Linked DNA regions of Macaca fascicularis. The protein of the gene in region 1 binds, or shares a complex with, the protein of each later gene. Links are inferred from orthologs where the notes say so. Each region holds a gene or a part of one and is shown in the gene's direction. Other genes may lie near its edges. The genes, in order: KPNB1 and PTHLH.

Evidence for each region.
Region 2: the proteins of KPNB1 (region 1) and PTHLH are in contact, whole or in part, in a crystal structure (PDB 1M5N), measured with the Homo sapiens proteins. The link is inferred for Macaca fascicularis from reciprocal best matches to the Homo sapiens genes KPNB1 and PTHLH. Residues at the interface, in NP_002256.2 of Homo sapiens: Val55, Tyr104, Pro106, Gln111, Glu152, Tyr156, Gln159, Asn196, Leu199, Asn200, Gln239, Glu274, Gln278, Glu281, Asp288, Ile295, Ser298, Glu299, Asp339, Asp340, Trp342, Val350, Met353, Glu395, Trp430, Arg434, Glu437, Asn469, Trp472; in NP_945316.1 of Homo sapiens: Tyr103, Thr105, Gln106, Glu107, Thr108, Asn109, Lys110, Val111, Glu112, Thr113, Tyr114, Lys120, Thr121, Pro122, Gly123, Lys124, Lys125, Lys126, Lys127, Lys129.

Annotation. Positions count from the first base shown.
Region 1 is NC_088390.1:59,071,061-59,074,873, reverse strand, and holds part of KPNB1 (importin subunit beta-1), read left to right. Parts: intron 1-108; coding exon 109-210; intron 211-3,038; coding exon 3,039-3,263; intron 3,264-3,813.
Region 2 is NC_088385.1:30,724,470-30,728,382, reverse strand, and holds the start of PTHLH (parathyroid hormone-related protein), read left to right. Parts: upstream 1-1,507; 5' UTR 1,508-1,763; intron 1,764-1,811; exon of another isoform or gene 1,812-2,104; intron 2,105-2,270; 5' UTR 2,271-2,292; coding exon 2,293-2,393; intron 2,394-3,913. UniProt on the Homo sapiens protein: Neuroendocrine peptide which is a critical regulator of cellular and organ growth, development, migration, differentiation and survival and of epithelial calcium ion transport.

The DNA of each region.
Region 1 (3,813 bases):
CTGTATGTTTCTGTTTCTGCTAAGAGATCCCTGGTCAGCTCTCATTGTATGCGTTTAGTATACAGAGCTTGATTGCTTTTGTCTAGAATTTGCTTTGTTTCTCCTCAGGCAGCAGAACAAGGACGGCCCCCTGAGCACACCAGCAAGTTTTATGCCAAGGGAGCACTACAGTATCTGGTTCCAATCCTCACACAGACACTAACGAAACAGGTGAGTTACCTTCCAAATATAGGTAGGTAAGCTGTGAAACCTTACTAAGAGTAAACTGTTTGCTGTGGAACAGTTTCCATGGAAGGAACTTGGCAACCCATCAACTATTTGATGTTCTGTTGTTGATGGCTCAGGAACAGCTAAGCTGGATCTAGAAGATCCCCTAGGCTCTGACTTCTTTGTGAAGGAGAACTAGGTCTTAACATCTCAGATGCATCTTGCTCAGGAGTGAGCCACATGCTGCTCTGATTTCCTGAGTGCTCCATTGTCCAAACTCTTAGAAGAGAGGTGCTCTATCAACGCTTCAGTGAAGCAAGGTTGGGAGCAAAGATATGCTGGTTTTAGGCCACTTGCCTATCTGTTCTAATGTCTAGGATACTTTTGTGAGTTCACAGGGTATATGCTTTTAAAATGCTAAAGAAGTTGGATATGAGTTATTCAGATCCTAATGAAGGACCCCAACCCAAGAAAGAAACCCTTCTACTAATCCTTTAAGATGATTAACTTGAATTATTAAGATTCAGACTGAAAGTGAAGTGACAAGACTTCATAAAGATTGGGGTCTAATGAGTAAATATAGAAGTTCTTTTATGAGGACCGTGTCCTGGTTGCTTTTGTTCTCCCGACTTTATGCAACACAGTGTTTCTTGATACGGTGTTTGGGAAGGTTCTTTTGGTGCATGTGAAGTTATTACCAAAGAGCTGCTAGTACTCTGAGGAAACAATGCTGGTAACTGAGCACTGCATCATTTCTTTGTACACAGGAATGTAATTGTTTTTAGGGATGTGTATGATTCTCAATATAGTAGTTTCAAAAGCTAAGTAGGGATGTGTTTGGATTAAAATGAACTGGATGTTCCCTTACATTTTAACCTCTCCTTTCAGGTTTTTTGTTTTTGTTTTTTTTTCTTTTGTTTTGAGACGGAGTCATACTCTGTCGCCCAGGCTGGAGTGCAATGGCATGATCTCGGCTCACTGCACCCTCTGCCTCCCGGGTTCAAGCAGTGTTCCACCTCAGCCTCCCAAGTAGCTGGAAATACAGGTGCGCACCATCACAACCAGCTAATTTTTGTATTTTCAGTAGAAGTGGGGTTTTGCCATGTTGGCCAGGCTGGTCTCGAACTCCTGACCTCAGGTGATCCGCCCGCCTCAGCCTCCCAAAGTGCTGGGATTACAGGCATGAGCCACTGCGCCTCGCCTATTGTTGCTATTTTTATCTTTTGACTTTGTGTCTTGTCTTTTGTGTGTGTGTGTGTGTGTGTGTGTATATATATTTTATATTTATTTGTTTGTTTATTTCTTAGACGGAGTCTCACTCTGTCGCCAGGCTGGAGTGCAGTGGTGCGACCTCGGCTCACTGCAACCTCTGCTTCCTGGGTTCAAGCGATTCTCCTGCCTCAGCCTCCTGAGTAGCTGGGACTACAGGCATGCACCACTACGCCCAGCTAATTTTTGTATTTTTAGTAGAGATGGGGTTTCACCATGTTGACCAGGATGATCTCGATCTCTTGACCTTGTGATCCGCCCACCTTGGCCTCCCAAAGTGCTGGGATTACAGGTGTGAGCCACCACACCCGGCCTACTTTCTTATATTTTTACTGTGCTTTTCCTCTTTGAGAACAAATTATTCTTTGTGTGATTTTCTGAAACTGCGTAGGCAACCTGCCTTAAGTTACTATGTGGTGTGAATGGCCACAATTAGGAAGCTATACCTTGGATTTTAACTTAAGAGGAGATATTAGTGGAATCTTTTCTTTTTTGAACTTTTGTGTTTTTGTTTTTTGTCTTTTTGGGGGGATGGGGGGTACAGAGTCTCACTCTGTCATCCAGGCTGGAGTGTGGTGGGGCAGTCTTGGCTCACTACAACCTTCATCTCCCAGGTTCATGTGATTATCTTGCCTCAGCCTCTCGAGTAGCTGGGATTAACAGGCATGTGCCACTATACCCAGCTAATCTTTGTATTTTTAGTAGAGGCCAGGTTTCACCATGTTGACCAGGCTGGTCTCGAAGTCCTGACCTCAAGTGATCTGCCTGCCTTGGCCTCCTAAAGTGCTGGGATTACAGGCATGAGCCACTGCGCCTTGCCTCTTTTTTGAACTTTTGATTGAATCATGTCTTCTTTCCAGTCATGAAACTCCCTCACTTTCCTGGTCTGTTATTCCATAAGTTAATTTTTGTTGATTTTGGACGTTATTTATTCTTTTTATTTATTTATTTTTTCTAAGACAGTCTCACTCTGTTACACAGGCTGGAGTACAGTGGTGTAATCTCGGCTCACTGCAACCTCCGCCTTCCAGGTTTAAGCAATTTTCCTGCCTTGGCTTCCTGAGTAGCTGGGACTACAGGAACGTGCCACCACACCTGGCTAAGTTTGGTATTTTTAGTAGAGACGGGGTTTCACCACCTTGACCAGGCTGGTCTCAAACTCCTGACCTCAGGTGATCCACCTGTCTTAGCTTCCCAAAGTACTGAGATTACAGGCGTGAGCCACCGTGCCTGGCCAATTTTGTACTTTATATAACTGGAATCATACAGCATACACTCTAGTTCTGCATTTTGTTCTAAATGTTTGGGATTCATTCTTTTTGGATGTAGTTGAAATTTTTTCATTCTTGTTGTTTAGTACTAAATGGAATCTTCTTGCTTCTGAATCTTGTTTAACAAAGACTATGCTGTGAGGAATGTTTGTGGAAGAGATAAAATATAAAGGTCTTATATTTTATTTCCCTGAAGTTTAAGTTCTAAAGACATTCAAGTAGTCAGAGGACCTTTAGAGTTAAAATGATTCTTTGGACAAAATCTTAACTAGTGCCATATTCTTTCACCAGGACGAAAATGATGATGACGATGACTGGAACCCCTGTAAAGCAGCAGGGGTGTGCCTCATGCTTCTGGCCACCTGCTGTGAAGATGACATTGTCCCACATGTCCTCCCGTTCATTAAAGAACACATCAAGAACCCAGATTGGCGGTACCGGGATGCAGCAGTGATGGCTTTTGGTTGTATCTTGGAAGGACCAGAGCCCAGTCAGCTCAAACCACTAGTTATACAGGTGAAGCTGAGGGATTTTTGGAGTAGAAAGTAGAATATTTATTGTTTAAACTTAAAGCATATCTTTATTTTTCAAAACAAAACTGTAAATTGTCATCTACAAAGATTATTTATAGATACCTATTTACTTTTAATGAGAGTAAAATATATTTCTTAGGTTTCTAATTAGTCAGCATGATCCAGAGACTTTTGAAAAAAGCCAAAAGAGAAGTCACCTTTAATTTCATTGCCCAGAAATAACCGCTCTTAACTCTGTATTTATCCTTGAAGCTTTTTCCTGTGTAAATGTGTGTGCAACAGGCGCTTTCTGTGCAGATTGTTTTATAACTTGTTTCTTCATTTAATACTATGTTGTAAACATTTCCCGATAATTTTTTTTTGCACCTAGCACTGATTCCCCATAATTTTAAATAATGGCATTATTATTCTATTCTTTGGACAAAATGGCCTTTATATAATGAAAATGTTCTTGTGGAAATGTTGTGCTTGTTTTTTTATTAAAAATCGTGCCATTGCACTCCAGCCTGGGCAACAAGAGTGAAACTCCATCT
Region 2 (3,913 bases), on another chromosome or scaffold:
GTGTGTGTGCGTGTGTGTTTTATTTTTTTCTTTGTTAGTGAGAGGAAGTCAAGTTTTTTAAGGTATGGGGTTTACAGTAATCAACTGAGGAAGACAGGAGTTTCTAAGAAAAGATGCCCCCCACCCAACCTAAGCAGCAAACTTTAACTGCTAGCTAGCTGCAGCGACCCAGTGGGGAGCCCCGATGAGCGAGGGTCTCGGTGAGAGGCCACTGTTTCTCCCACCCTGGGTAAAATATGTGGAGCATCACCTGGAAGGCCAGGCTTGATAAAGGCCACACTCCTTGAATCATCTCAAGTCTCTAAATCACACTAGCCTTCTAGAAACTAATGAACCCTACCAGCAGGATTGCCTAGAAGACAAATATCCCTTGAATGGTTCCCAGTCACTCGCGCTCTTTTCACAAAGTTAGAGGAGCCCTGGGGCGGGTATCCACTCCCGCTGCAATCCTTTCCTAGATGATACTACCCAGTCATTCCGAGCAGTCTTTCTTCCCCGCCCATTAGCTTTGGAAAGAACCTCTGCTTTCCCGTCGCTTCTCCCAAGCAGAGCAGCACACAACCATAGTTCCGCTGCGTCTGTCCGCTGGCTGCAGTGACTTGGATACAATCTTCCTAGAATCTGTAATCAGGCACTTTTGAGGGGGAGGGGACAACCGGGTAGAGTATCAGAGAAAGGATGGGTTAGACTCCTGACCAGGGGGGAAAAGGGCCGTGTGCGTGCCCCAGGAGTGTCGGTGCCCCTCTGCAATTCAAAAGGGGGATCTCTCCCGTGCGCGGGTTTTTTTGGACCGGCTCCAGATGTCTACCAGCAGTTCTGAAACAGCAAAAAGTGCAATTTAGATCTGAAGTCTGGAACCGTTTTTGCTCTCTTCTAAGCAAAAGATCTCCCTCTCTCTAGCCGATGCTCCCCACTCAGTTCATCCCGGGAATGAGCCAGGGAAGAAGGTTCTCATCCATCGCCCCGAGCTGCCAGGCGAGCTTCGGGCTCCTTAAATTCACAGGCCAACAGCCCGCGTCCTCTCCGCGCAGGCTCCCGGGCGCCCGTGGTCCCCGGCCCCGCTCCTTGGCCTCCTCCTCGTCGGTCCGCCCCTGGTGGTCTTGGCGCCCGCTGGTCCAGCCCGGCGCGCCGGGAACCGCCAGCTGCCCGGGGCCGTCCGCACGCCCTCGGGGATCTCGGCTCCGGGATCCGGCGCGCCGGCAGGAGCCGGCCGGGCCTGGAGGGAGCAAGCGGATCCGCCCACGCCCCCGGCCCGGGGATGGCGCGACAGGGCCCAAGCTCCGGGGTGGGGCTCGGTAGAGCTCCGGACAGCTCCGGGGGCGGCGGCGCGGGAGGGGGGAGCTCCGCCGCTCGCCGTTCATTCCCTGCTCGGGGCTCCCCTCCACTCGCTCGGGCGGCGCGGGGCCCGTTCGGGCCGCCCGTCGCCGCCCCCGCCCCCCGCGCGCCCGCCCGCGCCCTCGCTCGCCCCGCGCGCGTTCCTAGGGCGCCACCTCTTTGCGACTCTCTCACTTCTCCGGCAGGTTTGCCTCGGAGCGTGTGAACATTCCTCCGCTCGGCTTTCAACTCGCCTCCAACCTGCGCCGCCCGACCGGCATGTCTCCCCTCCCGTGAAGCGGGGCTGCCGCCGCCCTGCCGCTCCGGCTGCCGCTAACGACCCGCCCTCGCCGCCACCTGGCCCTCCTGATCGACGACACACGCTCTTGAAACTTGTTCTCAGGGTGTGTGGAATCAACTTTCCGGAAGCAACCAGCCCACCAGAGGAGGTAGACAGACAGCTATGTATATATATGTGGGTTTCGCTACAAGTGGCTCTGGAACCAAAGGGCCTGGTTCTCAAAGAAGCTGACTTCAGAGGGGGAAACTTTCTTCTTTTAGGAGGCGGTTAGCCCTGTTCCACGAACCCAGGAGAACTGCTGGCCAGATTAATTAGCCATTGCTATGGGAGACGTGTAAACACATTACTTATCATTGATGCATATATAAAACCATTTCATTTTCGCTATTTCAGAGGAAGCGCCTCTGATTTGTTTCTTTTTTCCCTTTTTGCTCTTTCTGGCTGTGTGGTTTGGAGAAAGCACAGTTGGAGTAGCCGGTTGCTAAATAAGTAAGTGCTGAGAGGCTCCAGATAATTTTTTTTTTCCTTTTCAACTTGGGAGATGCCCTTGATGTTGAAGAGGCTTTTTGAGACCGGGCTATAAAGGGAAAGCGGAGTAGTGCGGGGAGATGAAGAGTCCAGACTGACACTCGGGTCCCTCTCCCTTCTGTTGCAGGTCCCGAGCGCGAGCGGAGACGATGCAGCGGAGACTGGTTCAGCAGTGGAGCGTCGCGGTGTTCCTGCTGAGCTACGCGGTGCCCTCCTGCGGGCGCTCGGTGGAGGGGCTCAGCCGCCGCCTGTAAGTGCCCCATCCTCCCCAAGGCGCCGGGTTGGGGAGGCCAGGGGGAGGGGCTGCCAAGCTGGGACGCTGCCGAGGGCTTGCAGCGGTCACCGATGCTCCTCGCCCGGGTTAGGGAGAGGGACCATCCCGGATACCTGCCACGGCCTGAGTCCGGGTCCTCAAACCCGGCGGGAGGACTGGTTGATCTTCAAGGGGAGACAGGCAAGAGACAGATTTTATGTGTGTTTCCATAAGAGGGAGCGTTTCACAGAATCTCTTCTAGGCAGAGATCCTCTGCCTCTAGTGAGAGAAAAAAAAAAAAAGGTGGGGGGTGGTTGTTACTGTCAGGACCCAGGAAGCTTCTGAAACTCCGAGGAAGCTGAGCGGTCCTGGGGACGTATGGTCTGCGCGCTTGTATACGTACTGAATGTGGGTGGCGGTTTGCGTGTGAAAAAGCAAAAGCCGTACATCTAATTTTATTATGAATGACATAATTTTAAGCATATAAAATAGGACCATATTACATAATGAAAGCATATTATATAATAAAGTAGTAACAACTTTGCAGTGGCAAGACTCCAATGTTAGTATTGATACAGTTCAGGAACGCTAGAGTGCTTGGTTCCAAAATGAATTTTAGGTGTGGAAACTTTTTTTTTCTTGGAGTTATTGCTAACAGTTCTTTAATTCGGAGTCAAATATTTGCATTGTAGACTGAAAACTTGTATTTTGGCATTCTCACTTGGTGATTCTTTTAATGATAACTTCGACTTTGAAATAATCATACATCCAAGCACACCAGAGAAATATCACTATGTCGTGTGACTGAAAACTTGGAAGAGTGATAGAGTAACATGATCTTAATAATCTGTTGGACCTAGCAGTTCACTAATGTGTGTAACACCATATTTGGGTGATCTTTAAACTGCAGACTCAGTGTTCAGAATGGGAAGATTATAAAGTTCGAGAACTAAGAAGAAGAGTTTGACTCTGGAGAAGGAATTAAGGCAAATTTTTACACTAACAATAAAAATAGCAGCATCTAATATTTACAGTCAGGTTTATGGTGCCTCCTTGTAAATTCCCGAGGATGTACAAAAAGGCAACTGTTTTATACGTGCTCGTGGTCTATTATTATTAGAGAAGAAAATCCTTAAATGAAAATACTTGAGACATGTCTGAACCTTGGCATCAAAATGAAAATCTATTATGAATCTCCTAAGGCAAATTGTGTAGAACATTATACCGAAGATAAAGCTGCATTGTATTCTTCAGATCAACTTTTTACCGATGTATTTCTGAAAATTGTGTTCAGACTTTTTGCTCATTTTGAGACTTGTGTTAAATTCTATAATTTAAAATTCATATATAAATAGAAATGACTGAATTTTTAAAAGCATACTTAAATACTATATTTATTTGGTTAAGAAATACTACCTTGGAACAGAGCCAATTTTTTCTTTAAGGTTGCTTAAGAATACCTATCTTCTCTTTTGAGAAACAGCAAATGAGCCATGATTATGTACACAACTATGGCA